7 linked regions of the Canis lupus familiaris genome follow. The protein of the gene in region 6 interacts with the protein of the main gene of each other region in a pairwise test. Links are inferred from orthologs where the notes say so. Each region holds a gene or a part of one and is shown on either strand. Other genes may lie near its edges. The genes, in order: LRRC8E, TUBB, MAP2K5, PEG10, PTCD3, LNX2 and PHYKPL.

The links.
Region 1: the proteins of LNX2 (region 6) and LRRC8E interact in a two-hybrid assay, tested with the Homo sapiens proteins (3 studies listed by BioGRID and IntAct). The link is inferred for Canis lupus familiaris from reciprocal best matches to the Homo sapiens genes LNX2 and LRRC8E.
Region 2: the proteins of LNX2 (region 6) and TUBB interact in a two-hybrid assay, tested with the Homo sapiens proteins (3 studies listed by BioGRID and IntAct). The link is inferred for Canis lupus familiaris from reciprocal best matches to the Homo sapiens genes LNX2 and TUBB.
Region 3: the proteins of LNX2 (region 6) and MAP2K5 interact in binary tests that used the Homo sapiens proteins (3 or more experiments, as listed by UniProt). The link is inferred for Canis lupus familiaris from reciprocal best matches to the Homo sapiens genes LNX2 and MAP2K5.
Region 4: the proteins of LNX2 (region 6) and PEG10 interact in binary tests that used the Homo sapiens proteins (3 or more experiments, as listed by UniProt). The link is inferred for Canis lupus familiaris from reciprocal best matches to the Homo sapiens genes LNX2 and PEG10.
Region 5: the proteins of LNX2 (region 6) and PTCD3 interact in binary tests that used the Homo sapiens proteins (3 or more experiments, as listed by UniProt). The link is inferred for Canis lupus familiaris from reciprocal best matches to the Homo sapiens genes LNX2 and PTCD3.
Region 7: the proteins of LNX2 (region 6) and PHYKPL interact in binary tests that used the Homo sapiens proteins (3 or more experiments, as listed by UniProt). The link is inferred for Canis lupus familiaris from reciprocal best matches to the Homo sapiens genes LNX2 and PHYKPL.

What each region holds. Positions count from the first base shown.
Region 1 is NC_049241.1:52,997,816-53,001,484, forward strand, and holds the end of LRRC8E (volume-regulated anion channel subunit LRRC8E), read left to right. Parts: coding exon 1-1,833; 3' UTR 1,834-2,853; downstream 2,854-3,669. UniProt on the Homo sapiens protein: Non-essential component of the volume-regulated anion channel (VRAC, also named VSOAC channel), an anion channel required to maintain a constant cell volume in response to extracellular or intracellular osmotic changes.
Region 2 is NC_049233.1:653,548-656,734, forward strand, and holds the end of TUBB (tubulin beta chain), read left to right. Parts: intron 1-36; coding exon 37-1,094; 3' UTR 1,095-2,100; downstream 2,101-3,187. UniProt on the Homo sapiens protein: Tubulin is the major constituent of microtubules, a cylinder consisting of laterally associated linear protofilaments composed of alpha- and beta-tubulin heterodimers.
Region 3 is NC_049251.1:32,094,591-32,099,975, forward strand, and holds the start of MAP2K5 (dual specificity mitogen-activated protein kinase kinase 5), read left to right. Parts: upstream 1-1,826; 5' UTR 1,827-2,516; coding exon 2,517-2,651; intron 2,652-5,385. UniProt on the Homo sapiens protein: Acts as a scaffold for the formation of a ternary MAP3K2/MAP3K3-MAP3K5-MAPK7 signaling complex.
Region 4 is NC_049235.1:20,083,500-20,088,125, forward strand, and holds part of PEG10 (retrotransposon-derived protein PEG10), read left to right. Parts: intron 1-3,944; 5' UTR 3,945-4,065; coding exon 4,066-4,626.
Region 5 is NC_049238.1:39,292,947-39,297,306, reverse strand, and holds the end of PTCD3 (pentatricopeptide repeat domain-containing protein 3, mitochondrial), read left to right. Parts: intron 1-68; coding exon 69-217; intron 218-1,065; exon of another isoform or gene 1,066-1,200; intron 1,201-1,501; coding exon 1,502-1,543; intron 1,544-2,097; coding exon 2,098-2,256; intron 2,257-2,531; coding exon 2,532-2,610; 3' UTR 2,611-3,133; downstream 3,134-4,360. UniProt on the Homo sapiens protein: Mitochondrial RNA-binding protein that has a role in mitochondrial translation.
Region 6 is NC_049246.1:12,118,858-12,123,483, forward strand, and holds part of LNX2 (ligand of Numb protein X 2), read left to right. Parts: intron 1-817; coding exon 818-1,186; exon of another isoform or gene 1,187-1,695; intron 1,696-2,480; exon of another isoform or gene 2,481-2,554; intron 2,555-2,962; exon of another isoform or gene 2,963-3,114; intron 3,115-4,626.
Region 7 is NC_049232.1:3,617,286-3,621,911, reverse strand, and holds part of PHYKPL (5-phosphohydroxy-L-lysine phospho-lyase), read right to left. Parts: intron 3,845-4,626; coding exon 3,690-3,844; intron 3,274-3,689; coding exon 3,184-3,273; intron 1,653-3,183; coding exon 1,522-1,652; intron 1,073-1,521; coding exon 1,023-1,072; 3' UTR 1,003-1,022; intron 258-1,002; exon of another isoform or gene 1-257.

The sequences.
Region 1 (3,669 bases), on a different chromosome or scaffold from region 6:
GCCACCGTGGAGGCCTCCGCGGGACCAGGAAAAGCTAATGAGGGTGAGAAGGAAAAGGTGCTGGTGGAGCCTGAGAAGGTGGTGACGGAGCCACCAGCCGTCACCCTGTTGGATAAGAAGGAGGGTGAACAGGCCAAAGCCCTGTTTGAGAAGGTCAAGAAGTTCCGTGTGCATGTGGAGGAGGGGGACATCTTGTATACCATGTACATCCGGCAAACGGTGCTCAAGGTCTGCAAGTTCTTTGCCATCCTGGTCTACAACCTTGTCTACGTGGAGAAGATCAGTTTCCTGGTGGCCTGCAGGGTAGAGACGTCGGAGGTCACGGGCTACGCCAGCTTCTGCTGCAACCACACCAAGGCCCACCTCTTCTCCAAGCTGGCTTTCTGCTACATCTCCTTCGTGTGCGTCTATGGGCTAACCTGTCTCTACACGCTCTACTGGCTCTTCCATCGGCCCCTCAAGGAGTACTCCTTCCGTTCTGTGCGGGAGGAGACCGGCATGGGTGACATACCCGACGTCAAGAATGACTTTGCTTTCATGCTACATCTCATCGACCAGTATGACTCCCTCTACTCCAAGCGCTTCGCCGTCTTCCTCTCCGAAGTCAGCGAGAGCCGCCTGAAGCAGCTCAACCTGAACCACGAGTGGACGCCTGAGAAGCTGCGGCAGAAGCTGCAGCGCAACGCCCGGGGCCGGCTCGAGCTGGCCCTCTGCATGCTCCCGGGGCTGCCGGACACCGTCTTCGAGCTCAGCGAGGTGGAAGCCCTCCGGCTGGAGGCCATCTGTGATATCACCTTCCCCCCCGGCCTCTCGCAGCTGGTGCACCTGCAGGAGCTCAGCCTGCTCCACTCGCCTGCCAGGCTGCCCTTCTCGCTGCAGATCTTCCTGCGGGACCGCCTGAAGGTCATCTGCGTCAAGTGCGAGGAGCTCCGCGACGTGCCCCTGTGGGTGTTTGGGCTGCGTGGCCTGGAGGAGCTGCACCTCGAGGGGCTCTTCCCCCCGGAGCTGGCTCGGGCAGCGGCCCTAGAGAGCCTCCGGGAGCTGAAGCAGCTCAAGGCGCTGTCTCTGCGGAGCAATGCCAGCAAGGTGCCGGCCAGCGTGACTGACGTGGCCGGGCACCTGCAGCGGCTTAGTCTGCACAACGACGGGGCCCGCCTGCTGGCCCTGAACAGCCTTAAGAAGCTGGCGGCACTGCGGGAGCTGGAGCTGGTGGCCTGCGGGCTGGAGCGCATCCCCCATGCCATCTTCAGCCTGGGCGCGCTGCAGGAACTTGACCTCAGGGACAACCACCTGCGGTCCATTGAAGAGATCCTCAGCTTCCAGCACTGTCGCAAGCTGGTCACGCTCAAGCTGTGGCACAACCAGATCGCTTACGTCCCTGAGCACGTGCGCAAGCTCCGGGGCCTGGAGCAGCTCTACCTCAGCCACAACAAGCTGGAGACCCTGCCCACCCAGCTCGGCATGTGCTCCGGCCTCCGCCTGCTGGACATCTCCCACAATGGGCTACGCTCCCTGCCGCCCGAGCTGGGCCTCCTCCAGAACCTGCAGCACCTGGCTCTGTCCTACAATGCCCTGGAGGCCCTGCCTGATGAGCTCTTCTTCTGCCGGAAGCTGCGGACGTTGCTTCTGGGCTACAACCACCTGAGCCAGCTCTCGTCCCAGGTGGGGGCCCTCAGAGCCCTCAGCCGCCTGGAGCTCAAGGGCAACCGCTTGGAGGCACTACCAGAAGAGCTTGGCAACTGTGTGGGGCTCAAGAAAGTGGGGATCCTCGTAGAAGACACCCTTTACGAGGGCCTGCCGGCAGAGGTGCGGGAGAAACTGGAGGAGGAATGAAGCAAAGGTGGGGAAGGCTGGGTAGAGGCCTTCTGGATGCTTCCACTGCAGAATCTCTACTACTGTCTTCAAGAGAGGTGGCCAAGAGGGCCCAGGCCAGGAGAGAAGGAGCAGACGCATCAGCCACCATGGGTTCCAGGCAAGATCCTGGGACTGGTTTGTCTGAGAAGAGATGAGAGGCTGTGGATTTGGGGTGGAACGTCGTAGAGGGATTAACTCAGTCATAGGATTCTCAGACCCAAACCACACCTGCGTCTTTGGCTGGCTGTCCTGCCCACACCCTGGACATTCTGGCCTAGTTAGTGCCATATATGGGGTTGGGGCACATCCCAATGGGATTTCAGCCCTTTCCCCCACCCCTCAAAACACCTTATAGCTGGTGTTCTCTCCCAAGGAGGGGACACAGACACAAGGGACTAATGAGTGACCCTTGCCCCCAACTTTGATGCCAAATCCTTATTTATAAGTTGTTTGCTATGGACACGCAAAATCAGAAAAATGGTTCTCGTGTTTGGCTATGCATCAAAATCAACATCCCCAAAACAAAACATCCTGGGCCCCACCCCTGAAAGACTGACTCAGGTCTGGCTGGAGGCCAGGAACCTGCCTGCAAATACACATCCCAGGTAATTCTGATGCAGGTGGTCCTAGACCTGTGTGTTGGGAATTGCGGACCTACAGAATCTGCAAGTCCAGAGCAGGGATTCTGAACCCTTTCTAAGTCCTACACCTTTTGAACATCTGAGAAAAGCTGGGTGTTTCCTTTCCCAGGAAAATGCTCAGGTACACATACATGCAAAGTTCCGCAAGCAACTTTAGGCAGTCAGCAAATTCCCCCAGATTTCCCAGAGGGCCATTCACGGACATCCTAAGGATGGCAGACTCCAGTGTTAAGAATGCCTGCCGAGGAGGTTAAATTTTTCTGAGCAGAGGCAGGGATTTTGTCTTTCCAGTGTTTCCTGTGTGAGAGAGCATCTACCAGTGGGTGCTTAATAAATAATCTGAATTATGAGAACTAAACTTCCGATCTCTGGTATCCACTCCTGTTTGTCTAAGCCTTCCATTTCGCCAGACCAATAACAGGCAAGCAATGACACTCACATGGCGGAATCAAGGGTATGAGTTTCTGTCCTGGAAGCAGAGGCAGGAGAGACCTCGGCTTATCAGGCATCATCTGCGTAGCTATTTTTTGGAGAACTCTCTTTCTTCTCCATTCCTTATTATTCTCCGGACTCCACACTCTCGCATCTGTTCCACCCGCAAATTGTCACCACGGGAGTCCCCACAAGCCTTCCGCGCCCGCCAGTGTTCCCGTGCTGGACCAGGAGCAGGAAGGGCATAGGGCACAGCCTGCCTGACCTGGACCTCCCGGGCCTGGACACCTCAAGGAGTCTGAAAAAATGCGAGCCTCTTCCTCGCAACTGAGAGCAGACGCAAGCTGCTTTCCGAAATCCAGGATCCCAGATGGGGGCATTTTCCCGGGCGCCCACAGACCAGTTGAGCCGCGAGGAGACCAGGCTGAGGCGCCCTAACATCCAGGCCCATCTTCCGCACTGTCCAGGAGCTGGGCTCACATTCCGGGGTTGGGAAGATGAAAGTCCTAAAATACCCCATTTGAGGGGGCTGACCTGGAACTCTTCTGGCCCTGCCCCTCACCCTGTCCGGAGATCAGGGGTCATGCCCCTGGTCCTGGGGCCCCTCCAGTGACCGAGCCCTACCCTGCCCCTCCCGCCAGCCCTTGGCCAACCCCGAGTTTGCTGAAATAGAAAGGGCTCCCCACGGGCGCCTAATTATGGTGAAGAGACAGCAATTAAGCCTAACAGGGATCCTAATGAA
Region 2 (3,187 bases), on a different chromosome or scaffold from region 6:
TTGCTAATAAAGAGAATTTTGTTCACCTCATTCCAGGGCAGTCTGGGGCTGGCAACAACTGGGCCAAGGGCCACTACACAGAGGGGGCTGAGCTAGTGGACTCAGTCCTGGATGTGGTGCGGAAGGAAGCTGAGAGCTGTGACTGCCTGCAGGGCTTCCAGCTGACCCACTCACTGGGTGGGGGCACAGGCTCTGGCATGGGCACGCTGCTCATCAGCAAGATCCGAGAAGAGTACCCTGACCGCATCATGAACACCTTCAGTGTGGTGCCCTCCCCCAAAGTGTCTGACACGGTGGTTGAGCCCTACAATGCCACTCTCTCTGTCCATCAGTTGGTAGAGAACACGGATGAGACCTATTGCATTGACAATGAGGCCCTGTACGACATCTGCTTCCGCACCCTCAAGCTGACCACGCCAACCTATGGGGACCTCAACCACCTTGTCTCAGCCACCATGAGTGGTGTCACCACCTGCCTCCGCTTCCCTGGTCAGCTCAATGCTGACCTCCGCAAGCTGGCAGTCAACATGGTGCCCTTCCCACGTCTCCATTTCTTCATGCCTGGCTTTGCACCTCTAACCAGCCGTGGAAGCCAGCAGTATCGGGCCCTCACTGTACCTGAACTCACCCAGCAGGTCTTTGATGCCAAGAACATGATGGCTGCCTGTGACCCCCGCCATGGCCGTTACCTCACTGTGGCTGCTGTCTTCCGTGGGCGGATGTCCATGAAGGAGGTAGATGAGCAGATGCTCAACGTGCAAAACAAGAATAGTAGCTACTTTGTGGAATGGATCCCCAACAATGTCAAGACCGCTGTCTGCGATATCCCGCCCCGTGGCCTCAAGATGGCAGTCACCTTCATTGGAAATAGCACAGCCATCCAGGAGCTTTTCAAGCGCATCTCAGAGCAGTTCACAGCCATGTTCCGGCGCAAAGCCTTCCTCCACTGGTACACAGGTGAAGGCATGGACGAGATGGAGTTCACCGAAGCTGAGAGCAACATGAACGACCTTGTCTCTGAGTATCAGCAGTACCAGGATGCCACCGCAGAAGAAGAAGAGGATTTCGGTGAGGAGGCTGAAGAGGAGGCTTAAGGCAGAGTACCATCACCTTAGGCTTCTCCATTCCCTCTTCCTCAGCTGCCCCTATCCTCTCCCTCAGAATTTGCATTCTCTGCCTCTTATTTTTTTTTCCCTTTTTTTTGGGGGGGGGGGTCCTAGAACAGTGCCTGGCACGTAATAGGCGCTCAATAAATACTTGTTGTTTGTTGAATGTCTCCTCTCTTCCACTCTGGGAAACCTAGATTTCTGCTGTTCTGGGTCACCCTGTATTTTCTTTTGGTGTCCATTTTCCCGTTTGTGCAGTTGATATTTCCCTTTGTTTTTTAAGGTGATTCACTGAGAAGCTGGGTCTCATTAGATCCCATTTAGAACATGTGCTGAAAACATCGCCACCATCCTAAGCCCATGTGGTAGCCCAGGGGAAAGGAAACCAAGCTACCTCATAGCAGTAGAGGTACATATCGAGAAGGTAGGGTTTTCTATTCTAGAGCAGTTTTAGAGAGGGAAATCCAGGCTCTTGAAGTCCAAATCCAGGAATCTTCCTGCTCTCAGCTTCAGGGGAGATGTTGACAGTATTGTCTATTTTTAGTCTTCTTCCAAGCTCTGTCCTGAGCTGTTTCTTTTGAGGGGTCTGTGCCACTTTGTTGAGTGGGATCCTTCCCTCCTACATAAACTGCTTCACGTGTTCGATTTCTTCCTTTTCCCAGGGGAAAGAGGGACTGGCCTTGATCCCTAAAGTCTGGAAAGGCCCCCTCCCACTCCCCACTTTTTCTTAACAAAACTCCAGCTCTACTGTGTACATATAGAAAAGTGTGTATTGCCACCTAAATCATTTGAGTCATTCTTCCAGAGGGGACAAGGAGACCCTCCACCTTTTGGCAACACCTCAGCTCTTCCTTCTGCTATTCCCTTTCCCCACACACCCTTGATTTTTGTCCTGTCCTACATTTCAAATTTCTACTTTGTGTTGAACTTGCTTTTTTTCATATTGAAAAGATACCATTGCCCCAAAAGCCAAAAATAAAAAAACTGAAAAAAAGTTGCGAGATGTGTGCTCATTTAGGGAAAGATTGCCATTGGACAACCTGAGGCTCAAGTTCAGCTACGCTTATACTCTGCTCTTAATAAACTGATGAGAATATCCTTGTACTTAACCTTATCCTGGTAGAACTATTTCACCATCCTCACTACCAGTCTCAATAACTAGGATAGGCATAGACTCCTACAGGATTGACAGAAATGGGAACTGAGATGAATGTTGAATAGTGCGTAAGTGGCTCCCAGATGAATAGCCTCTTGGGAACTTGTGTAGAAATGCAGATCACCAGGCCTACCCAGATGTACTGAACCAGAAACCAGCTGACTAGTAATCTGTTTAGCAGTACTCCAGGAGAATCTTGTGAATGCAGAGTTGAACGCTATTATTGCACTACTTTCAGTGCACAGCACATCCAGGATTCATTTGAGTTATGGGTCTTGCTTTTTTCTCTTACACCTTGGCAATTTTCTCATTTAACTCCAGGGAAAGATAAAGATAACTAGTGAGGGATGCTACTCCATGGTCCTATTCTAAAGTACTGTTTCACCAAATAAATATACTTTTCTAAGGCACAAAATAAGTCAGCTACCCTGGAAATTTAAGTCCATGTAATTTTCCTTCCAATTAATAAAGGGAACTAGTGCAGTTCTCCCAATTTCTTCCATTTTAGCATGCTTTTTTGCGTATTACCAACTTTTGCCAAAGAAAATTGTATGACGTTAACTACGTGTTAACTTGCTTTTCTCCCATTCTAAAAAGTGTTGAATGAAGGGAAGATGCTACGTTCCAGTATTAACTTTGAATCAGTTCTGCTTTATTAAGTTAATTATTAATCAGTATCAGTACTTTGTAACAGCAACTCATTTGATAAAGTTGAGAACCTCCAGGCGATCCCTCAGTTTTGGTCAGGAAAATTCTAGACCATAAATGTATACAGTCCAGTTAGAAAGTTAAATTGCAGGGTGCGGGGTGAGTAGGATAATCAGAAGGCTGGCATGAAACCCGTGGGGGACTGGGTAGTCTTAGCAGTGTGGGGCTGGGAAGAAGAGCAACCCCTCCTCTCCAAGGCAAGGCACAAGCTATTTGG
Region 3 (5,385 bases), on a different chromosome or scaffold from region 6:
AAAATATTAAAAATAGAATAGAATGACTATATGATCTAGCAATTCCACTTCTGGGTATATACCTATCCAGAAGAATTGAAAGTACAAATTGAGTTGGTTTTCCCCATAGTACAATGAATTAAAAAGCCATTTTAACAAATGATAGGTTCATAGAAAATCTCTAGTTTTGTGGTCTATTTTTTCAAACAATAGGAAATGAACTTTCAGTGAAAAGTACATGGGGACCTTAGGCACACTGTTTATTTTTCACTTGACTGAAGTGCCAGTGGAAAAAGGCAATTTCAGAATATCTGGAGCATCTGATTAAGTAAATTTCTACCTAAGCTATTAACTTACAATAACTACTGGTGTGCCCAAGAAACAATAGGCAGGTCGTGTGGGGGGTTTTACATCTACAAAGAGATAATTTATCTCATACTCGGACTTTCAAATTAAGTATTAAAAGAATCTCAGACAGGGAAAAATATGCACAAAATTTTTTGGTATTCTACTGAAACTAATCAACATTTAAATTCTTTTTTTTTTTCTTGTGTAAACTATCTGAATGTTAGGGCAGAAATTGTCCCTCCTCTCCCACCAAATTTATACAAAGTTCACTACCTGAAAGTAAAGCAACAGGTGCACATTAGCAGGGTATTATGGACAAACCCACAGGTTGAAATTTGTAAACAAACTTTTATTTAGGCACTACAGATGAACACAAGTTATGCACTTTAAAATCTGAGGTTAAGAAGGCATTTAAAAACAACCAAGGGTTATTCCTACTTCCCAAGATATCACCCAATAAGTCAACAATCCTATCTAGGATCTATCTGAAAATTTGGGGACTAGACTGGATACTTTCTGCAAGGATTTAATAAGAGAGAGAACATGAGGCCACTACTGCAGCTGTCCCTTGGCACTTACACTCTTCCCTGATTTTTTTTTTTTACTATTGCTCTTTTCTTTCTTCTTTCTTTTTTCTTTTCTTTCTTTTCTTTTTCTTTCTTTTCTTTCTTCTTTCTTTCTTTCTCTTTCTCTCTCTTTTCTTTCTTTTTCTTTCTTTCTCTCTCTTTTCTCTTCTTTCTTTCTTTCTTTCTTTCTTTCTTTTTCTCTTTCTTTCTTTTTTCTTTCATCTTAATCTATTTATTCACGAGAGACATAGGCGGAGGGAGAAGCAGGCTCCCTGCGGGGAACCCAATGGGGGACTCCATCCCAGGACCCCAGGATGACGCCCAGAAGGCAGATGCTCAACCACTGAGCCACCAGGTGGCTTTTGAACCTGTTTCCTGTTGCTTTTGAACGGAGGCTGTTTTCTATTTCAGGACAACAGCGGGGCAAAACAAACCGAAAAAAGAAAAAAAAAAAAATTCAATCCATGCACTGTTTGCTAATGTGAGAGGAAGACGATGACCTTCTCGTCTAAAAGCCAAGTACTTTTTGAGTTCCTGCCTGGCTGTTGCGGATTTGATGCACAAACCCCCTCAAGGTAAAGGGCTTAGCAAAGTTGGGATAAAGGTAAGGCTTCCGCAAACAATTTTAAGCACGCAATTTTAAGCCATCAACTGGCTTTGGGCGGACTGCAGCCCCAGTTCGGTTTCCTCCTCCGCTCGTTATATGGTTCAGCTGGCGGGGCTTTAACCAGGGTCACTCACGGGAGGGACCATCCTCCGCGCATCACCTGCGGTCCCGGGACCTGGACAGCGCAGCCCCGCCCCGAAGCCCCGCCCCCCGCGGAAGCCCCGCCCCCGCACTTCGCGAGCTCCGCTCAGGTCCCGCCCACCCGGGCGCGGGCGCGGGCGCGGGGGCGGGGCTGGCCGGGAGCTGCCCTTTTCCAACATGGCGCCGCGGGAGGCGGGTGCGTCTCGCCCGCTCCCGGGGGTTCCGGTGCCGTGCGTTTTGGTTCCGGAGTAACAGTGCCCTCCCCGTGCCTTCCTCCTCCTCCCGCCGCCGTTGCCGCCGGAACGTTCGGCCTGGGGCGGCCAGGGCTGATCCGGTGCGCGCCGCGCCCTGTGACTCGGAGGGGGGCCGAGGGGGGGAGCCCGATTCGCTCCGCGGCGCTCGGGCGGAAGGCCCTGGTCGGCTTCCGCCTGGTCTGGGGGCCCCCGGGGCTCCTTCCAGTCGGGGACCCTTCCCTTCCCTTCCCTTCCCTTCCCTCTGCGCCAAGGAGGAGCGGACACCTGCCGCTCTGCCTCCCTCCCGAAAGCGGGGTCATCTCCGCACGTCCACACAGACGCCAGGGAGCTTCACCAGCCCGTTTCGCGCTGTTTTCCAACTCCGCTAGTTCCTACCGGCCCCTGCCTCCTGCGCGGTGCACGCTCACAGGGAGGCAGCCCCGACCCCCTGCAGCCTGGGTCCGGCTCGGTGCCCGCGGGCTCCCCCAGACCACCCCTCCTCTTTGCACTCCCCCGACTCCCCGACCCTCTGTCCTCCCCCCCCCCGCACCCCTCCGTCCCCTGGTCGCCTCTTGGAGCCCCCGCTTGACCACGATCCAGTGGGTACCGCCCACCCCAGGATGTGAGCCCCCGGCACCTGTAATGCTGTGGCTCGCCCTTGGCCCCTTCCATGCCATGGAGAACCAGGTGCTGGTGATTCGTATCAAGATTCCAAATAGTGGCGCGGTGGACTGGACAGTGCACTCCGGGCCGCAGTTACTCTTCAGGGACGTGCTGGTGAGTGGCAACCGCAGGATCCAAATCCCATTGAGGAGGGCGCAGGGATTTGTGGGGTAGTCAGCACTTGGACCGCCGAATCTGAGCCTGCTGCACCCCCCCCCCCCCCCACCACCACCGAGCGAGTGGCAGTGGCCTTTGCTGGCTTCCTGTGGGGGCGGCTTTATTGCTTCAGCGACACACATTGATTAATTGCATGGACTGAAATCTGGCAATTGTGCAGGGAGGGCCTTGGGGACGGAGAGATGAATCAGATTGAACTCCTGCCCTCAAGGAGCTCACAGCCTGCACTGGGACATACACACATACACACACATTTGCAACCAACCGGCTGCAAAGAGCTGAGTCTAGAAGTACCCCCCCCCCCCCCCCCCCGTCCCCTGTCCCCCGCCCCCCCAAGTGTTTCTCGGAATGTCCTTGGCCAGATTCCAGCCATGCCTTTCTACTGAGTTCCCCGAACTTGGTTGGTGACCACTGGGGAAGGGAATCTAGGCTGCTTGAACCATGCTTCAGCAAACCTAAGGTGTCATTGGTTCTAAGACACTCTTTTATGTACTACTGAGAAAAAAATACTGCCTGTTAAACTGTCACCTGCTGCACAGAATGCAAAAGGAGCGCAATTTCAGATGATGCTAACCCTGGGGGGGGGGGGGGAGGGTGCATCTCAGAATCAAAGCTGTGTCATTACTTTCAGGGTACCGAGAACTTAGTTCAAATAAAGTCATGGAATGTGAGAGCGGAGTGTAACCTTGGCAGTGAGCGGCCTGTTGAGACCTCTGAACCTTTTTTGAGATAGTTACTGAGGAGTAGTGAAGACGGAATGGCTTTTCCAAAGCTGTGTTGCTCGTGAGTGCAAGAGTCCGTACCAGAACTCAGATTTGCTTACTTAGTGATTTTTCCCCACATGCTGCACTGTCATTTCTCATCTTTCAGCACACATTTGAGATAGCCGGAGTGCACTGTGCCCGTTTTAAGTATTGAATAATTGAGGTATGGAGAGGAGAACTGACATGCCCAGAAACATGTTGCAGGTACCAAATCTATGGTGGAACTTACCTACAAGATAAAATGGGGGTGGAGCAGAGATTCTTGTGGGGAGGAGGATCTGGGGTGTGATTTTTTTTTTTTTTTTTTTGGTTGCTGTATGTGACTCAATCAAAATTTGATTCCAATACCTACATTTTGAATTCTGGATATTACTGGCCCAGAACATCACAGATTTTCAGGTGTCTGGGCCAGGAGTCCAGAAGCTGGAGTGAGCCAGTAGCTTCTAGTAAGCCAACACCAAATATTGCCCTTCTCTTGGCATCTGGAGTCCATCCACACTCTCACATGCATATAGATTTCTTCTCTTGACAAGGCCCAAACTTTTTTTAACATGGTCCTCTAGGTCTATCTGGATTGGCTTGTGCCTGCCTGGCACCAGCTCAGTCTCTCACCACATCCCTGAGAACATTATGTGCTCCAGGTTCATAGAGCTAACCTTTGTCCCAGGCTGTCTGACCCCTTTCTTCAGCTGGCCAATTCCTACCTGTCGTTCAGAGCCCAGCTTCACTTTTCCTCTACCTTAGTCTTTTTTTTTTTTTTTAATTTTATTTATTTATTTATGAGAGACACACAGAGAGAAGCAGAGAGAGAAGCAAACTCTTTACAGGGAGCCCACTGTGGGACTTGATCCCAGCCCAGGACCCTGGATTCACTGCCAGAGCCGAAGGTAGATGCTCAACCATTGAGCCACCCGTGTGTCCCTCCTCTATCTTAGTCTTAATATGCCTCTCCTCTGTGTTCCCATAGCTCCGTTCCAGCAAAGCTAGCAGGTTTTGTCACAGTTTTGTCTATCTTCTCCACTAAATGGTAAACTTCTGGAGGAGATGGACGTTTCTGTCTCCTGTTTCTGGAGCTCCAAAGCATCTTGAAATATTTGTTCAAGCATTTCAAAAGGAGCTTCAAGGAAGATGCATGCAGTTAAGGTTTTGTGGACAGTCTGCTAGGTTTTGAATCTAGAAACATGGGTTTAATTGCAAGCAGTCTCACTAAGTAAGCAAGTCACTCTGTCTCTTTTAGCCTCAGTTTCCTTACTTGTAAAATTGGGACAATACCCGTCTTCAAGGCTTGCAAAGTTTAAGTGGGATCATGCCTGTGATGGAAAGATGTAAGCTTTCTTTGACTTTGCTCATTTGAAATAACAGAAGGTACTATTTAATGTAGAATGGTGCAGTGTTTAAAAATACAAGCTCTGGGCTAGACTACCTGGTTTGAATTGCAAAGCTTACCATACTCACTTTGGGGCAAGTGTATTCTAGGTCTCAGTTCGTTATCTGGAAAAAAAAAAAAAAAAAAAAGGAGTCAGGAATTAAAATAGTGCCCACCTGATAGAGTATGAGGACTACTGGAGTTGATATACATAAAGCCCCTAGAACAATCTAGAATCTGGTAAGTGCTCTATAAGTATTGTCATTAAGACATAAAGGACAGGGCCTGGATCTTCTGCTTCTCAAGCATCTCTCAATGGTTCCTTGGCTCCGGGCTGACTGGCCTTAAGGTAAATTTTGCACAAATGGTACCACCATTTAGAGCTCAGAGTACCATGGGTCCTCACATGTGCATATGTGCAGGTAAGCCCCGGTGGATCATGCTTTGTCAGGAGGGCCTGATGAAGGGCTCTTTGCAATGAGTGTTGTGCTGTCTTGCATGCTCCCTATTGCAGGCTGTATGCACTGCATGCCCAGATTCT
Region 4 (4,626 bases), on a different chromosome or scaffold from region 6:
CCAGCTAAAAGTTTTTACTACAAATGAAAAATAAACTATTTTAAATACTTTTCACATTTAAGGGTTTTTTGAGACACTGTGGACATTTGTGGTGGCTTATTGGAATCAGATTCTTCGGTGGATACAAAATAAGGAACAACTTGAACTGTGTTTCATAGGAGTTTTAAGTGGCTTATTGGTACCTTTGGCTTGGCCTTGGGGCAAGGATGAGGTGTTTATCTGCGTGCCTATGAAGCTGGGGTTTTTTTCTGGGCACTCTAGGGGATTAGCCCTGGCTAACTTGCCTACATATTTATTGTGCCTGGCACATGGTAGGCATTCATTAAATATATGTTAAATGACCAGTGTGAATTGGCTGATTCAGTGCCTTCTTTGGTGTCTGCAGGTGTTTTCTGGTTTTTTTCCCCCTGGTGCTTTGCTGTCCAGGATTGTCTAAGGCATTGCTTGCCTTATCTCTCACTTAACTGGATCCTTTAAAAAAAAAAAAAAAAAAATTTAAACTCTAATAATGTAAGCTGTAATTATAATACAAAACTATACATATTTAAGATATTCAAAATAGCTTTTTAAAAGTAAAAACAAGCTAATTGGCTATTTAAATTCAGGGTGAGTGGACTACTTCACAATGGTACATAATTGTCATATTTACATTTTGTATAATGTAACATAAAGTGGTTACATTAAAAAATAGATTGGAGGGTTTTAGCTGGCATTATAAAACATACACATAAAACATCTGATGCCTTACCTCCAGTCAGATGTACCATGTTTATGTTTCTAATAAAATGAAGAAATTTTAAAACCTGGTTTCATATATTGTAAGCCATAAGCCAGGACTCTGACTCCCAAATATCTGTCACCCACCCCCTAATAAATATGCAATTTACATATCTTTATGTATTTATACTTGTGGTAATTACAGCTTTCAGTTAATCCCCAGCCCCCCCCCCCCCCCCCCCCCCCCGTCACCCTACCCCCACTTCCTTTCGAAATTCTATGTTTTTTTTAAAGTTCAAAACAATGGTAAAAATATGCATATTAATATAATTTGCATTTCACAAATAGTATACATGGTACTAAAAAAGAAATTGGGACATTTGAAAATATAAAGCAATTAAGAGTTGCTTAATGAAGTGTCATTTTCTAATGAGATGTTTAATGTGCAGTGTTTTTTGGCTACTGTTACTTTTTGGTGTGTTTGGGGAACAAGTTTTTAGAAGTCTTCAAGAAGAGTCAAAGGTCAATCAAATGTATTTAATTCCTATATAGACTAACACTGGATTCTTTTTCATGTGTAAAGGTGACATCTATCCCATGTGACTTGGCTCAGTACTGTGTGTCATTTCAGGTTTTAGGAATGGGGCCTTTGGGCCTGACCTCCACAATCCAGCCCCTAGTAAGGGGTGGGAGGTGCAAATCAAGTCACAGTGCTCCTGTTCCCAAATTAACTGGTGCTCTAGTTGCTATTTAAATATCTTTAAGCTTTATTTACATTGAATGTTAACCTGCCTGCCGACTATCCTATGTTTTTTAAAGGTTACACTACTCTTCTCTGGGCAGTTATCTCCTTTAGGATTTAGAATCCCACACCAAAATTAAAAATCCCAGGGGTGGGTACCTGATGCCTGATCTTGGTAAAGGTCAGGGGTCTCACACTGGTGACCTTGCAAGTCAAATAAGGCCCTTAATTTATTTGACCAGCACTGGATTAAAAATATTTTAAAGAATTGAATGTTTCTGGGGAGGGGACATGCATCCCTAAATTACATAGTCACCAGCCCACTCCTTATTGTCTTAACTCCAGTTTCTTCTCACTTTTATGTTACCTTCCTGTCTACTAAAATCATTTGCATTTTAAGCCCTTATTGATCTTTTGATTCCTTAAACAATATACAATGATTGTTTGCTGATTTCTGAATGTGTTGTTATATCTGTCCTATTATTATGTTTTGCAGATATTAAAACCATGAGACTGGAACCTCAGTAAAGCTCCCCCCAATGACTGTGATTGACATGTGGGTTGTTAACCTTCCTGACCTGGGTCAGGCAACGCCAGGCCGAGCTATGAAGGCCTTTCCAGAAGTTTTCTAAGTTTTCTAAGTATTAATGTCTAGATACAGAAGTGGCACTTGAGTCACCTGACTTGTGTTTATTGTTTTTTAATGGGACATTAAAGCTTTTAATTTAAAAAAATAAAGATTTTAATTTAATAAATCAAAATCACACTATTTTGTGACTAATCCAGGGCCTCATTTTTTTTTCTTGTACCCTATTGATTGAAATATTAGCTATTTTTCACATAACTTCTTTGAATAACACATTTATCTTTGTGGGCTTTAATTAATATAATTAATTTAGTGTCCATTATTGCCTTGATGGGTCAGAGAAGAACAGGTGACCAGGAATGCCAAGTTAAAATTTAGTGAATGGGCAGTCTGCCTGCTTTTACAAATTATGGTTTTAAACTTTTGAGCGCTTTCCTAAAGTTTTCCAAATATGAGAACTTAATGCTCATTTAAAAATTATAAAAAGTTAAAATTAAGTTACTATAAATGCATTTAACCCTCATTTTAGGAAGTACATAAACACTGCTGGATTTATTGTATGTGTGATTTATTGTCACCATACCCATAATTAAGACCTTAATCCCCCAAACCCCCAATGCCCCCCATGTTGCTACTCACCACCTAGGAGTACAGCCCTATCCTGCTCTAAATTATAAACTTTTGGGTGGGACTGTGCTGACAAATCTTGTTTAAAAACCAGAAGTTGGAAACTGGTGACCTGCAAATCAAATGAGGCCCTGGATTTGTTTGGCCAACAGCGTATTCCCCCCTCCCCCCCCCCCCAAAAAAAGTAATGTCTTTAGGTGGGAAATGCCTGCCTAGGTTGCCATAGTTGCAGGCCCTCCCTGTTTTAATCTTAGCCTCTTTACACAGAAAGTTACCTTTCTTATTAATATCAGCTAACAGTTGTTAAGTATTCACTGCTTTACCTGCATTACCTAATTAAATCCATACTGTAAATTTGAGGTATTCTCTTTTTGGGCTTTTTTGACTGTCCCATTTAATAGCCTAGCTCTTCCTAGGAGGCATCAATTAACATTTGTTGATGAACTGCATAATAAGGAGAGAGGCTGATACACAACGTTGCTGCTCGGTGCCACTTCTGTCCCGAAGGGAATTCTCTCTGGGAAATCAGATTATGTTGGATTTAGACAATCTTGTGGGTTTCGTGACCGTTGTTGTTGTTGTTGTTGTTTGTTTTGATAATCAGTTAGTGACCTTCACCATGGAGGTAGTGCCCTCTTCCCTCCCCCGGCTGATGAATACAGGCAGTGTGATTTAAATCCCCCACCCTTCTTTTTGGTTCCCTATTGGCTGGATTATTAGCTCTTTTTCAGGTAACCCGTCTAATAACAATTATCATTTTGGCTTTGTGTTTTTAATTTGGTCTCCATCTTTGACTTGAAAGTTTCTTGCTGTGCCCTCCTGATCCAAACTGGTATTTTGGAATGTCTCCGCATTCTTTTACGGTCAGTGAAGGTAAACTTGCTGTTGATACCGGTATGCATTGTTGTTGAATCATAATAGGTGACATTTGATGAGGAAAAAGGTCATTTGGACGTTAAAAAGTAGGGTGCTTTTTGTTACTACCTATTGTCTTAATTGATTATTAACTTGTTTCTCCCTTTTGCAAGATCTGTGTTTGTTTATTAAATATTAATGTAAGCAAGTAGAGCAAAGAGATACTTTAAATACTCATGTATTTAAAGTATTTTAGTGGATACTTTAAATACTCATGTATTTAAAGTATTTTAATGGCTACTTTAAATACTCACGTATTTAAGGTACTTTAGTGGCTACTTTAGATGCTAAAATCTTTTTTGTAGTGTGCTGCTTTGAACGTGGATGATAAACTTCTGCTTTTATCTTCCTTTACAGAAACAAAAAGCTTTTGAAAACAAAACGAAGAAAGGGTGGAAGAGGAGGCCAGGATCAGGGCCTCCATCCCCACAGGAGCGAAGCTACACCTGGGAGGTCTCCTCCCACGCCAACCCTCACCCTGGGGCCCGACTGCCCACCTCCTCCTCCTCCTCCTCCCCCCAACGGCCCCTCCTCCTCCTCTTCCTCCTGCTCCTCCTCCTCTTCCTCTTCTTCATCCTCACGCAGCGCCCCAAGGGGCCAGTACATCCCCAACCTGGCCGAACGAAGGCGAGACGATCTCTCTGAAGAGATCAACAACCTCCGAGAGAAGGTCATGAAGCAGTCCGAGGAGAACAACAACCTGCAGAACCAGGTGCAGAAGCTCACAGAGGAGAACACCTCCCTGCGCGAGCAAGTGGAGCCCGCCCCTCAGGACGAGGAGGACGACCTGGAGCTCCGAGGTGCTGCAGCCGCCGCTGCCCCACCCACTCCGCTAGAGGAGGAGTGCCCGGACGACCTTCCTGAGAAGTTTGACGGCAACCCCGACATGCTGGTCCCGTTCATGGCCCAGTGCCAGCTCTTCATGGAAAAGAGCACCAGAGATTTCTCCGTCGACCGCGTCCGCGTCTGCTTCGTGACCAGCATGATGACGGGCCGTGCCGCCCGCTGGGCCTCCGCCAAGCTGGAGCGATCCCACTAC
Region 5 (4,360 bases), on a different chromosome or scaffold from region 6:
TGGAGTCTCCTGAACCTGATTCTCATAAAACCAACCAGGCAGTTCTGCTGACTCTCAGAGCCTCTCAGCTTCAGGTGGCGTTTGCAGACTGTGCCGCAGATATCAAATCCACTTACGAGAGCCAGGATGCCAGACAGACTGCTCCTGATTGGCCAGCCAACTCTCTGAACTGTATAGCTGTCCTCTTTTTAAGGGCTGGGAGAACCCAGGAAGCCTGGTGAGTACAAAACCACAAGTGTAAATTAGAAGCATTTGTACTTGAATCTCAGAGAACATTTTGCCTGGTCACAAGTTTTCTAATTTGACTGTATAATGAGTTTTCTATGGGAACTGCAAGTGACAACTGAAAAGGAAACTTTTGGAAGACCAGTATGGTATATACATTGTATTTAAGAGATGACGCCATCTAGTGAGCTAATTCTCTTTCTGACCTGTTTTATATATTCATGGCCAAATAGTCACTTACCTGTTCACTTAACTGGAATGTTCAAAGAAAGTTATTTTTTAATATGTTTTGGGCATTTGACTTATCCATGTATTTCACTCAATGCTTAAAATGCAGGCTGTGCCCTTGGGACTTGTGGAAATTGGCATTTACAAACATGGCCTTGACTAAAACCATCTTTGTTTCACTGTATAGCTGTGTTAGGTGTTTTCATCAGCACCCCATTCACATACTAATTCTTAAGAATGTGTTTGTGAATGGAGCCCTTACATGCATTCCTTTTTCCAAAAGCAGAGAAGTTAACAAAAGAATACTTTGTAGGAGTAGTCCTGATAAGAGTGGTATGGCTGTATTTTGTTCTGGGTAGAAATATGTGTTCTAACAGTAAGTGGGGTACTTGTATATGGCATTTTCAACACAAAGTGTTGATTTGAACGGAGGATTGTCAGCCCAAAATGTGGCTGTTCACTATCTTGAGGAAAAAGCTGGTGAATGAAGGCATTGCCGCCTAAACTTGTCTTAGGAGTGTGAATCACACATATAGCCTGCTGCACTGCTGGTGACAAAAACCTTTGATGCTCAAATTTTTAAACTCCTGTTGACACACACTTGTTATGAATCAGGCTGTGATGATTGGCGCAGGGGTACGGACCTCAGCTGAGTCATGGGAGCTGAATGTATGTGTTTCTCCTTTGTCTTGCATGTGGCAGGATGCTGGGGAGCACTTACAGGAGACTTGCCTCAATCTGAGCCTGCTCTTCACAACGTAATTCTAGGATACTGATCTCATTCTGGGATTGTGAGAGAGGAAAGAGATCCCACTCAGTTGCATCCCTCTCTTCCAGCTACCCACAGGGTGTCGTCTTTTTTCCTGGGAGGACTGAAGTGATCCTCTAGAAGAGGATACACCACCCCCCCCACCACCCCCAATAATCCTCAACAGATTTGCTTGGGAAATTTGAAATGTACCTACATGAAGTTAGGAAAGAGGGAACTGAACCGCTACTATCTGCTCACCTTCTGTTTATTATCTTTCTTGTATCTCGTCTTGAACAGGAAAATGTTGGGGCTTTTCAGGAAGCACAATAAGATCCCTGGGTAAGTTGAAGTTAACAGGTCTGCCTCGGTATATCCAGGAAATAGGTGCATGGTTTTAACTCTTACCATGGGGTGATTGGGATTTTTTTTTTTTTTTTACATACTTTAGTCACAGTGATTGAGCATTCTTCTGCTAGGCAAATGGACAGTTGCTTCCACCATCTAGGGTATCCTAGATTAAGGAAGCACTGTGTTTAATCTGCTTGGTGATTGCAGCACACTGGGGATACATTCAACAGATCCTTAGTGAAGGCATACTGAACCAGTGTTCCTTATATTTCTTTGGCCCATTAAAGTTAGTCTTCTGGGCAGCCCAGGTTGCTCAGTGGTTTAGCGCCGCCTTCAGCCCAGGGCCTGATCCTAGAGACGCGGGATCGAGTCCTTCATTGGGCTCTCTGCATGAAGCCTGCTTCTCCCTCTGCCTGTGTCTCTGCCCCCCACCCCCTCTGTCTCTCAGGAATAAATAAATAAAATCTTTTAAAAATAAATAAGTAAATCTTTGAAGGGATTCAGGGGTTGTTGGGGAATGTTGACTTTTTGTCTTTCTTTTACAGAAATAAGTTGCTGAATGAGTTTATGGATTCTGCAAAAGCATCCAACAGTCCTGCCCAGGCCATTGAGGTAGTGAAGCTGGCAGGTGCCTTCAGCTTGCCTATTTGTGAAGGCCTCACCCAGAGAGTGATGGCTGACTTTGCAATCAGCCAGGAACAAAAGTAAGTCCTGAATGGATAACATAAAGTGATAAAAATGGAGCAGACCATTTGTCTACCCATTCAATGTTTATAGCTTTTTGCCTCCTGAATTTTTTTCTTTGCGAAAAATCAGGATGCATTAATTTAGTTAGTTATTTCATTTGTCACATACATCAGAGAGGCCTATAGTTTTGGCTCTTGAAACCTTTTCCCCTTTCATTATAGTTCAGTGCAGCTGCAGAGTCCCCTCCCACAAGACTGAAATGCAGTGTAACCCTCGTTTATTTTCCTTACAGGGAAGCCCTGGGAAACCTAACGTCACTGACCAGTGACAGCGACAGCGACAGTGACAGTGACATCAGTGAAGGCATATAAAAGTGGGTGAATCAGGAGCAGCTATGGCCTAGCATAGCTATTGTAATTACACTTGAGAATTGACATCTCTGTTCAACCATATTGTGAAGAGAACAAGAGAATTCAGACTTCAACTTTTAAGAACAATAGATACCAGAGGGACTACTTAAATTCCGAATTTGATACTTACTAAGCCACCCATTTAAACAGAAGCCGACCTACCATTTTCATTTCTTTGGACACAGCTCCTGGTTTCAGCATAAGCTTTGTACCTACAGTGTTTGTTGGCCAACTTCACTGTTGCCCTTTGTGGTTTGCCCTCCCATCATGGACTTGGCCTTCATTGGCTGATTTGCAACCTTAGAAAAGGACGTGTCTAAAGGAGGTTTGCACATGTATCTCCATTGATACTAGATCAGTATACCAATTTTAGGGATATTTAGAGGTGAGAAATTTGCCATTGTTTAATCATTTCTAGGATGCGGAGTTTTAAGCTACATGTATGGGAAAATGAGGGCTGTAAATAAACACTAGGTAATGTGCATTGAGCGCAATTTTTTTTTTTTTTTTTTTAGCGCACTTCTCTTACTTTGACATAGCCTGTTTCCCCTGAGCCCTGGGATTTCTACAAGTGCTTCATCTCCCTTGCTTCCCCCTTTTTTGCCATCACCTTTAGTTGTGCTCTACTGAAAGTGGTCTAAAGTGAGGACTGCTAATCAAGAATCTCTAGTCTGGTATTTCTCTTACCACCAGAACTTTGAAACAGTATTGGAAGTTAACAGGAACCTGCATGGTTTATTAGGACCATTCTTAACCCTTCACCAGGGCTTCCACAAGCTGCTTTTGCTCATACCTGGTCCCAGATTAACTGAGAGACCCCATGAGTTCCCCACAGATGAACAGCTTCAACCTTACCCTGCCAGGGTTGGCATTTATGAGCAATTTTGTACTGTTGTCTGTTCCGTTTACATTTTCCATCCATTCTATCTAGGCCTAGATCCATTCGTGCATCTTCAGAAATCTAAGTATTGGTTCATGTTGTGTCCTAGATTGTGTTTAAGACATTTAATTCAAGGACAAAGGGGGCAGGGAAATGACAGCAAATAACTACTTAAGCATTCATGTGCATTATTCCTTGACATATCAAAGTGAACAAAAGGACCATTAAGAAAGGTTAGCTTTGGGCAGCCCTGTGGCTCAGCGGTTTAGAGCTGCCTTCAGCCCAGGGCCAGACCCTGGGGACCCGGGATCGAGTCCTGAGTTGGGCTCCCTGAATGGAGCCTGCTTCTCCCTCTGCCTGTGTCTCTGCCTCTCCCTCTCTCTCTGTGGATCTCTCATGATTAAATAAAGATCTTTTAATAAATAAAAGAAAGGTTAGCCTTTGATTTTGGTTTACAACTTCCAGGGAGAACCTGGCTTCCTGGAGGCTTCTCTTCTCTGTGCTCCTTCCCATCTCACCTATACATGCCTCGCTCTCTTGGCCAAGTACTCACTCACTGCAATCCCTACAAATGTGTGGCACACTTCTCCCCTTGCCAGCCCCCAACTGAATCCTCACCATAGTGCTTGGCAGCTATAGAGTTGATGGGACCCCATCTGGACTGAGGTCATGGTAATTTATAATGGACTTCAATGTAGTTCAGTTGTTTTAACTGCTATAGTGCCCACTCTAGGCAAAGAACTGCTTCAGACTTTCAGAAAATTTGCCCTATGTGATTGGTCTCCATTCTCGTTTTTAAAGTTTTAATCTCTACATTCAACATAGGGCTCA
Region 6 (4,626 bases):
GATGCTCAGAGAATGTTGGTTCCCCACTGGCTGCTATTTCACACAGATGAAGAAAGGAATTCTAATTGTGATAAATATGAAGAATTGTGCCAACCCCTTCCTCTAGCTAGGTGAATAATTGAAGCTGGGCATATTTTCTTAGTGATGTTAGTGTCCAAGGATTGCTCAGTCACTATACTCATTTCAGGATCATAAAGTTTAATAGAGAAATGTTCTGAGTGCACTGAGTTACGCATATTGTGTTAGATAAGCTATTACATTTAGTGCTAAACAATTAGAGTGAAACTGTAATTGTAAGTAAAAATCACTGATCTGAGATCAGGTTGTATACCTGGAATGTGTCCCTTTCCTTAAAATAAAACTCAGTGTATCTTTTCTAGCTTAAGTGTATTTCATTGGCAAAAGCCACTTCAATCCAGTAGTTCAGTTTCTGTTCTACTAGAACTAGTATTTCATTGGTACTTGCCATATACTGCTGTTGTCTGCATTCTCTTCCTGGTCCCATGAAGCAGAGAGTGAACCCATCTCACTGCTGATAGCACAAGGCAGAACCAAGGGCTCTGATTCAACTGTCACTGAAGCTTGTGATCCTAACTGCTGTTCTCTACTTAATGCTAGTCATTGTGAGTGAAGCTTAGAAGCTGTGTATTTTAAGACATCTTTGTAGTTGCAATTGTAATTTGTAAACTTTCTCTGTAAATAATGACTGTAAATCCTTTTCACAAAGTTAGTTTCTTTTAGAAATGGTAAATAAGCATTTCTACAAGTTGAAAAGATAGAAGATTATCACCCTTTGATCCTAATTCTTTTCTTCCAGGTCAACAACTGTAACATCAGCAATGTATCCCACAACTATGCCAGAGCCGTTCTCTCCCAGCCCTGCAGCACACTGCACCTCACTGTGCTGCGAGAGAGGCGCTTTGGGAACCGGACAAACAGCCACTCTGACAGTAGCTCTCCACGGGAAGACATCTTCCACGTGGTCCTTCACAAGCGGGACTCTGGTGAACAGCTCGGCATTAAACTTGTACGAAGGACCGATGAGCCAGGTGTTTTTATTCTTGACTTATTGGAAGGCGGACTGGCTGCACAGGATGGAAGGCTCAGCAGCAATGACCGAGTACTTGCCATCAATGGGCATGACCTGAAGCATGGGACCCCAGAGCTTGCCGCCCAGATCATTCAGGTACGCACCAGGTGTTCGTTTCCAATGCTCAGCCTTTATTACAGTTGATGTTTGTTTTCATAACATGAGAATCTAGGGGATATTTGCTATTTCATAGGGAAATCAAACATGGCTCCTCAAATCCTTCAAAATGCACAGTAGTATAACTTCATTACAGATAGGATCCTTTCTGGAAAACTGTATCCCTGTGAGTGTTTAGCCTTGCTCTTTATAGAGTGAAGGCCCTGTATTCTCACATAGGTTTCTCATTTGCTCCCTGGGCTCCACCTAGTCCCAGACATAAAAACGGGGGCGTCCACATTGAACGGTGAGAAAGGCGTAGCTGGAAGGAGCTGCCATTCCAAGGTTGTGACTTACTGGCTCTTGTAATTCCCCCTCTCTGCTTCAGCTCCATACAAGTGGAGAAAATAATTTTTTATTAAGAATAGCTCTTAATCTCCATAGTGCCTTTGTTTTAAAGCAGTCCAAAGCATTTCAAACACATCATAACTCGTATTCGTACAGTATCCCTGTAAAGTAAGTAAATTTATAATTAGAGAAAAAAAAACACTTTTTCAGTAAAAGCATTAAAATAAAGTAGAAAATCATCCAGAGCAGAACTTCTGGTTCTCTAACCCGCCACAGCATTTAATGATGAGGGTATTTCCTACATTGATAAGGGTGAAACAAAGATGTGTGGCTTTTTCTTTTTTTTCTTTCTTTCTTTCTTTTTTTTTTTTTTTTTTTTTTTTTAGGTAAGCACAAGGAAACCAAACATTAACATAATCAAGCATTAGGGATTAAAAAGTAGGTTAATAGTCACTGAGAAATATGTATGGCAGACAGAATCAAATAACAAGTTTTAAACTACTATGTAAGAAAACCCAAGTTTCAATCCCATTTAAATTTTTCACTTTTCACAAATTACTTTTCACAAATTTTTGGCTCATTACAACCATAAGAACACATGCACACACCAGGTAGCCGTATTGTATTAGGAAGGAGGTTCAGGCATTGATCCTGCATCACAGACTTGAGGTTTAAAAAAAATGGATATGGATACCTTCTAATATATATAATACCAAATATAATATATTGTTCAAGTTGTTTTTTTGTGAAAAAAATTAAATCTTACTGTTTTGGATTATAAAAATAATGTACTCTGTCAATAAAAGGAGACAAAACACAGAAAATAAAAAAGGAAGCTAAAGTCACATTCAGTCTAAACCCCTAAGATGTTTTGGAGAACATCATTATAAACGTTTTTCTGTACATGCCTGCAGATAAATAGGTACATATTTACATAGATACTTACATGTACACTCATCTTGCAAATTCTGAGTTTGCAGCCGTTTCTTCATGTCAGCAGTATGTTGTGGACTTCTTACCCTGAAAATAGACTCATCATGACATAGCTGTGTAGTAGGCATGTTGTACTAAAACTTATTTAATCATTCCCTTGTTAACAGACTTGAATGTTCTGTTTTCCAGTTTAAGACATTTTGCTAAACTTCCTCTAGAAAGTATATATATATACACACACACACACACACACACACACACACACACATATAGTATATAAACCAATATATACTCCCAACAGTAGTGCATGCCACTTTTTAATGAAATAGGTATTGTCATTTTGGCATCCTGCATTTTTAAAAATCTTGACTTTTAACAGAATTCTTTTGTTGTGTTTGAAACCCTGAAATGTTAGATGTGCCGTCTATTTAAAATTAGCCTAAACCCAAATGTTGGTCCATCGTTTAAACCCACATGCCCACTTCCATCACACACCAAGAATTTTGTCCTTTCAAAATGTCAGGAATGATCAGGGATTTGTTTCTGTTAATGGGTTTGCATAAACACAGGTCTTTCAGTAAAGCTGAATGACTGTATAGGGTATTTCGTAGTGGTGGTGGTGGTGGGTATTATGCAGTAAAGCAAACCATTCCATATACTGACATGAAATTACAAAGGGGCTTCTCACCCATCACTGTGTGATCTAATAATCTGAAGTGTCAGAATCTCAAATATCAGAATTCTACACATTCTACTTTGACAGTTACCCTTTAGATCAAGTCCCAGACTCTGGCCACCTGGGAAGTGTCACTCTTCATTTATTTTGAAGAATTGTCTGCAACTAGTTTAATGCAATGCTTGAATAAGCAGGTGATTTTTAATAGGGCTCAACTTGGTTATCACTCATTTCCCAACCTGAGAACTGAAGGTGAAGTGAATTCTTAACATTATTGACTAATTATGGGGGAGGGTCCTACTTTCCACTACAGCTTCTTAAAAGCAGGCTATCAGGGAATGCATGGTGGCTCGGTGGTTGAGCGTCTGCCTTTGGCTCAGGGTGTGATCCCGGAGTCCAGGGATCAAGTTCCAAATCGGGCTCCCCGGTGGGAGCCTGCTTCTCCCTCTGCCTATGTCGCTACCTCTCTCTGTGTGTCTCATGAATAAATAAATAAAATCTTTAAAAAAAAAAAAAAAAAAAAAGGTAGGCTGTCAGATTTTCCCGTAGGAATGATAGTAAACTTGGGAACTTGTGGTCACAACCAAGAATCAGCACTGCCTATGTTGCTACCTCTCTCTGTGTGTCTCATGAATAAATAAATAAAATCTTTAAAAAAAAAAAAAAAAAAGGTAGGCTGTCAGATTTTCCCGTAGGAATGATAGTAAACTTGGGAACTTGTGGTCACAACCAAGAATCAGCATCAAATAGATCAGGCCTGTACATTAAAGGCAAAGATAAAACAGCTTTAAAACATATAATAGATGTGAATCTCTGTTCAAAATCTAGATCTATAAATAAAGATAATGGACCTCTAAATTCAAGGTGAGAGTTGGAACCTCTAAAAAACTTAACCTAATGGGACACCTGGGTGGCTCAGTGTTTGAGTGTCTGCCTTCAGCTCAGGGTGTGATCCTGGGTCTGGGGATCAAATCCTGCATTGGGCTCCCCATAGGGAGTCTGCTTTTCCCTCTGCCTATGTCTCTGCCTCTCTCTGTGTTTCTTTAATGAATAATAAGTAAAATCTTTAAAAAAAAATTTACCTAACATTTATGTTTGCGCACGTGTGACATAATATACACATGCAGTGTACAATGGATATAAATACTAATCTTGTTTTATAGGATCTTTGTTATTATTCTTCTCAGGACTATGTAAGCTGATACCGTACTTTGACCCAAACTTATAACAAGCAGAAACAAAGCTGTATGTAGTTTCATTGATTATCACTCTCAAAATAGTCACCCTGGAATTTATTTCAGAAGTCACAAAGGATTCTAATCCAATTTTGAATCAGTTCTTCCTTTTACCTTCTTTCCTTTGCTCTCTTCCTCTCAATGCTGAGGCCAGTCTTGCATGGGAGAGTATGTAAAGAAAGTTAGTTACCCTTTAAGAAATCTTGGGAAGATAAGAACCCAGGCAGTTCTACTGTTTTGCCTTGGTT
Region 7 (4,626 bases), on a different chromosome or scaffold from region 6:
AGCCTGGACCTGTGGACCCTGGTTGTAAAGAGTAAACTGTATCCTAGAAAACCAGTGTCACCTTTTTTTCACCTTTTAATTTTATATTATTTGTGTCATACATTTCCTGTTAATGGAAGTGTTAATTTTACTGTACTTTTTGGTACCTTTTGGGAATCTAATGTATTGTAAGGTATTTTACACGTGTCCTGATTTTGCCACGACCTGGATATTGAAGCTATCCAAGCTTTTGAAATAAAAATTTAAAAACCCCCAAAGCCTGGGTGAGTGTGGGGTATCCTGTGAAGAGCGGGGAAGGGCTAGGTGCTCCCGAGCCTTCAAAGCTTTAGTACCCTCCATGACCAGACAGCAGTCCTGTCAGGCAGAGCTGCACTCTCAGAACTGCTGGTTAGCTTCTTTTGAGGATTTGGTCCTACTCAGGACTCACCCTTTTAGAGAAAGTTAAACTCCAGGACCACAGGCCTCTTCAAGAGTAGTGTGGTTGGGGCCAATGAAGGAGGGTGTTCCCCCCCAGGGCAGTGGGGAACATTCTGGGACACCTGCAAAGTTCTGTCTGTACTTGTTGGTAGAAATGGGTATTTGGTCTCCCAGCAAGGACTGAACCTATAGATGGAGGCCATGTCCTAGGAGCCAGCTGCATTTGGACAGCGTCCTTTCCTGGAGCACAGCCTAGCCCCCTTTGGCAGGGCCTAGCTGCTGACTGGATGGGAGCACCCATGGGGCTGGTGGTTGAGGCCTCAGGAGACCTGGTGGCAAGAGGCAGCAGTGGATGAAGCCTGGCAGAGAATGTTTCCCATCACCTCAGAGGAAAGAACTGGCTCAAGGCAGGTGCTATTCCTGCCCTCTGCTGTCCACTATAAAATGCATCATGGAGATTTTTCTGGGGGGTGGCTGGAGATAACCTGGTTAAGAGCAAGGTTTGGCTTGCTTGAGGGAAGGAGCCCCTGCTGTTAATGGTGCGGTCCCCAGTTGTGTGGGTTATGAGGAATAAGATCCACTCACCCAGGGGAGGACAGGATGCCTCAGGGCCGGAGCCTCAGCGTCTCACAACTTCTCATCTTTTCTTCCATGTCTGAAAAACAGCATAAAGTCACCCAAAAAGGGTTAGCAATTCTCCAGTGTCCTTTCATCAGCTGGGTGCAACTCTCATCCCAGCAGCTCAGTGCCTGAGGGAGACCCCAGCCTTCAAGTGAGGCACAAAGGTCCTGCCATCTCTGTCTACATGGCTTCACTCATGACAGTGGGGTCTTTCACCCGAGCTCTGGTTCCCTTGCCCTGCATCCACAGTACCACTCAGGACGGCTAGTGCCTTCCTGCATGCCTGCCTGCTCGGTGCTCAGGAAGTCTGTGAGGTGAGTGCAGGCCTGGGCCCCAGGGCCCCCCCCCCCCCCCCCCCCCACCAGCTCCCTGTTCCTGCACCGCCTGGAAGACTCCTGGCTAGCACCCTGGAACGTCCTATATCCTGGCTGCAGGCAGGCTCTACGGACATAGTCAGCTGCTCCTTGCTCCCCACCCCCTCACCTGTCAGGATGGCATCCATTTTTGCCACCACGTGCTGTGCGTTGTCCACACTGAAGCACATTGGAGGTTTAAACTTGAGGACGTTCCTCCCAGGACCATCAGTGCTCAGCAAAATGTAGTAGTCTTTCAGTCTGAGGAAAGGAAGTGGTGAGGCCCTGCTGCCCACCAGCCAGGGAGCCTTTCCAGGCCCCAGCTCTAGCTACTCTGGCCTGGGGGCCCCATGGCAGACCAGGTACTACCCTCCACCACTGGCTCACCCCCATTCCCACCTGCTGGTCCTTTGGGGTGCCCTGTACCTGGCCCTCAGCATGCTGCTCCATCCCTGGAGCCCCAGCCTGAGCCAGGACCAGCCCTAGCCTACAGCGTGGACAGTAAGCATTCCTGCACATCAGCAGCACTTCTAAGCTGGTATGCTGAACCCCACGTCCCCCTCACTAGCTTCAGTTAACTTCCTTGGCCAACCCTGTTTCTGCTTCTTGTCCAGAAGTAATCTTTGAAATCCCAAAGGACTCTCCAGTTTTAATTTCCGGTTCTTTTTAGGAACGAGGACTTAACCCTCAACATAACTGGTACCTGAAAATGTTAACATTCCACATTGATGCTTTAACCTAGGGAGGTTATTGGGCCAGAGAAAAGAGGTCTGACGTGATTCTATTTACATTCTGACACCACTTCCAATCTCTTATTCCTTTTTTTGTTTAAGCTTGTCAGGCTGGCTCCTTTCTCCCATACCATTCTTCCTGGCATGGACTGTGGTCCTAGAAAGAACAATATCTGGACCTTAATCCAGCCCTGCCACCAGCAAGCAGGGCAGCCGCAGGTGCCACACCTGCCCCTGGTCTAGTCTCACTGATGGCACTAAACTCAGGGTGGGTATGAGGTGGGAGTCAGGCTGGGCCTCATGACTGGCTCCCTCCTTCCCTCTGATCCCATTGATTCCAGTCCTGAGGCTCCCTGGGGGGAGGCAGTAGGTGTACCTGCCCGCAGAGGCAGGGCTCGGCCGAATACAGGAGGGGTCTTGTGTCAAAAATCCCAAGAACATTTTTACATTGTTTCTGTTCACATGATCTCAAAACAGAATGATGTGTTTTGCAATTGGAATAAGGACACAATCAGACACCAGGAGGAGGGTTTCCCCAGGTTCAGCTCCTGCCTTGGATCCAGGGAACACGCAGGCTGGGGCTGGGGATTTTGGAGTCTGGAGGTCCCAGTCATCTAGAAGCCTTCCACCTAGATGAGCAGGAGGCCTGTCCATCCCAAAAACCCGCTGCTCTGGGATCGGGGACCCCCCAGTCTGGCTCTGCCACAGCCCCTGGTGTGACTGGAAAAGCTGCTTCCCCTTGGGCACCTGGGGAACGTGAAAATATGGCTTTTGGGTCTGAGAGCCCCTGTGGCTTTGGCATCCTTGGCCGAGAATAGCCTGCACCCATCAGAAGCCTTTGGCGCAGGGCACAGGCCACGGAGCTGACCGGGCTGCTCTTCCTGTCTGGAGCTGAGTGATGCACAGATGGGTGCCCCCTTCCTGCTCAGGCCGATGTCAGCTCCTTCAGGCAAGCCCTCTGTGAGCCCTGAGTGCCCAAGAACACGGTGACAAGAGCAGAAGCAGGAAGGAGGTTCTTTCCCAGTCAGGGTCCTAGATGCTGTGAAGGTCACCAAGAATACCTGGACACCACATAGTTTGCCTCTTCAGTTGCTGGCGTCCTGGTTGCCTCGTCTTTGATCAGATCCACACCAATAAAGAGCCCAGTGCCCCTAGAGCAGAAAGGTGACATCTTAGAGGAGACTAGGCCTGGTGGGGGTGGACCCTGGTCCTTGCTCTCCTCCTCTGCCTGGGCCTGTGGGAAGCACCAGGGCTTGTTCTCTGCTTCCTGGGCAGGCTGAGAGCCATAGAACCCTCAGATGGTGGTGACCTAGTCCCAGGGAGTAACTGCAAGGGGAAGGGCCCCAGGTGTGACCGAGGAAAGGTTGGGGGTCAGAGCCAAGTCTGACCCTGGTTTTCCCTTCCCTAGAAGTGTCATCTTGGGCCAGAGCGCACCTCAGTGCTTTAGTTCCTCCTCTGAAGATGCAAGTCCCCACCAACCCAGGTGCTTAGGAGGTCACAGGAGAAACCGCACTTGGCTGCTGGCAGGTGCTTAATCAGTGGGTAATAACTGCTGCCCCAGTCTCACCTGACGTCCCCGATGATCGGATGTTTGGCTTTCTGCTCCTCGAGGAGCTCCATCAAGTAGCTGCCCACAGAGGCGGCATGAGCCTGCAGCTGCTCCTTCTCCAGAACATCTAGGACGGCCAGGCCTACAGCACAGGATACAGGGCTGCCCCCAAACTGAGCCAGGGGACAAAGCGCATGTCAGATGCCTGGAAAAGCAGGCCACGCTCCAGGGAGCATAAAGGCAGCAGAACTGCCACACGCATTCTGAGGGCAGCGACAAGCACAGGCCTGCACCCCTCAGAACTCAGTAATTTGGGGGTAGACAGGGTTCTCCTGAAGCCCCTGTGGGCTGTCCTCTTATTTTTTTTCCGGTGCTAATGTGACTGTAACTCAGGTAAGGTACCCCCAGGGGTACAAGAGGAGCCCCAAGAGACCAAATCAGAAGAGGTGTGCTGTGCATTTTTGTTGAGAGGCTTTAGGAAGCCCCATCTCACAGGTTGGGCCTAGACCCAAAGCATCAGACTAGCCTCCATCACCTTAAAAAGGGGGTCAAGAGCAACATGCCAGAGCCGCACCCAGGAAAAGCCACTCTGTGTAATTTGACTCAAGGCTTTATAGTTTTAGCTCAGGGCATATTTTAGGGCACAGAACATGATAAGCTGGTTGCCTGTAAGCCACATGTGGCCTGAATATTCATTTTGTTTGGCTTGTGTGACATTATCGAAAGCTTTGAATTAGGTGCTAATGTTAAATATGTAGTCCTGACTGAGAATAAACCTGGCCTATCTGGCTACACTGGCAGGGGCTGCCCTGGCTTGCTCTGATTCACTTCCTCCACCTGGTCCTGCAGGTGTCCGAGTGGGGACCTGTGTTACAGAGAGTCAGGAGCAAGGGTGTCTCTTGCAGAGTATTTTTTTAAACTATATTGAAAAAGAAAACTTTATTGAGGCAGAGTT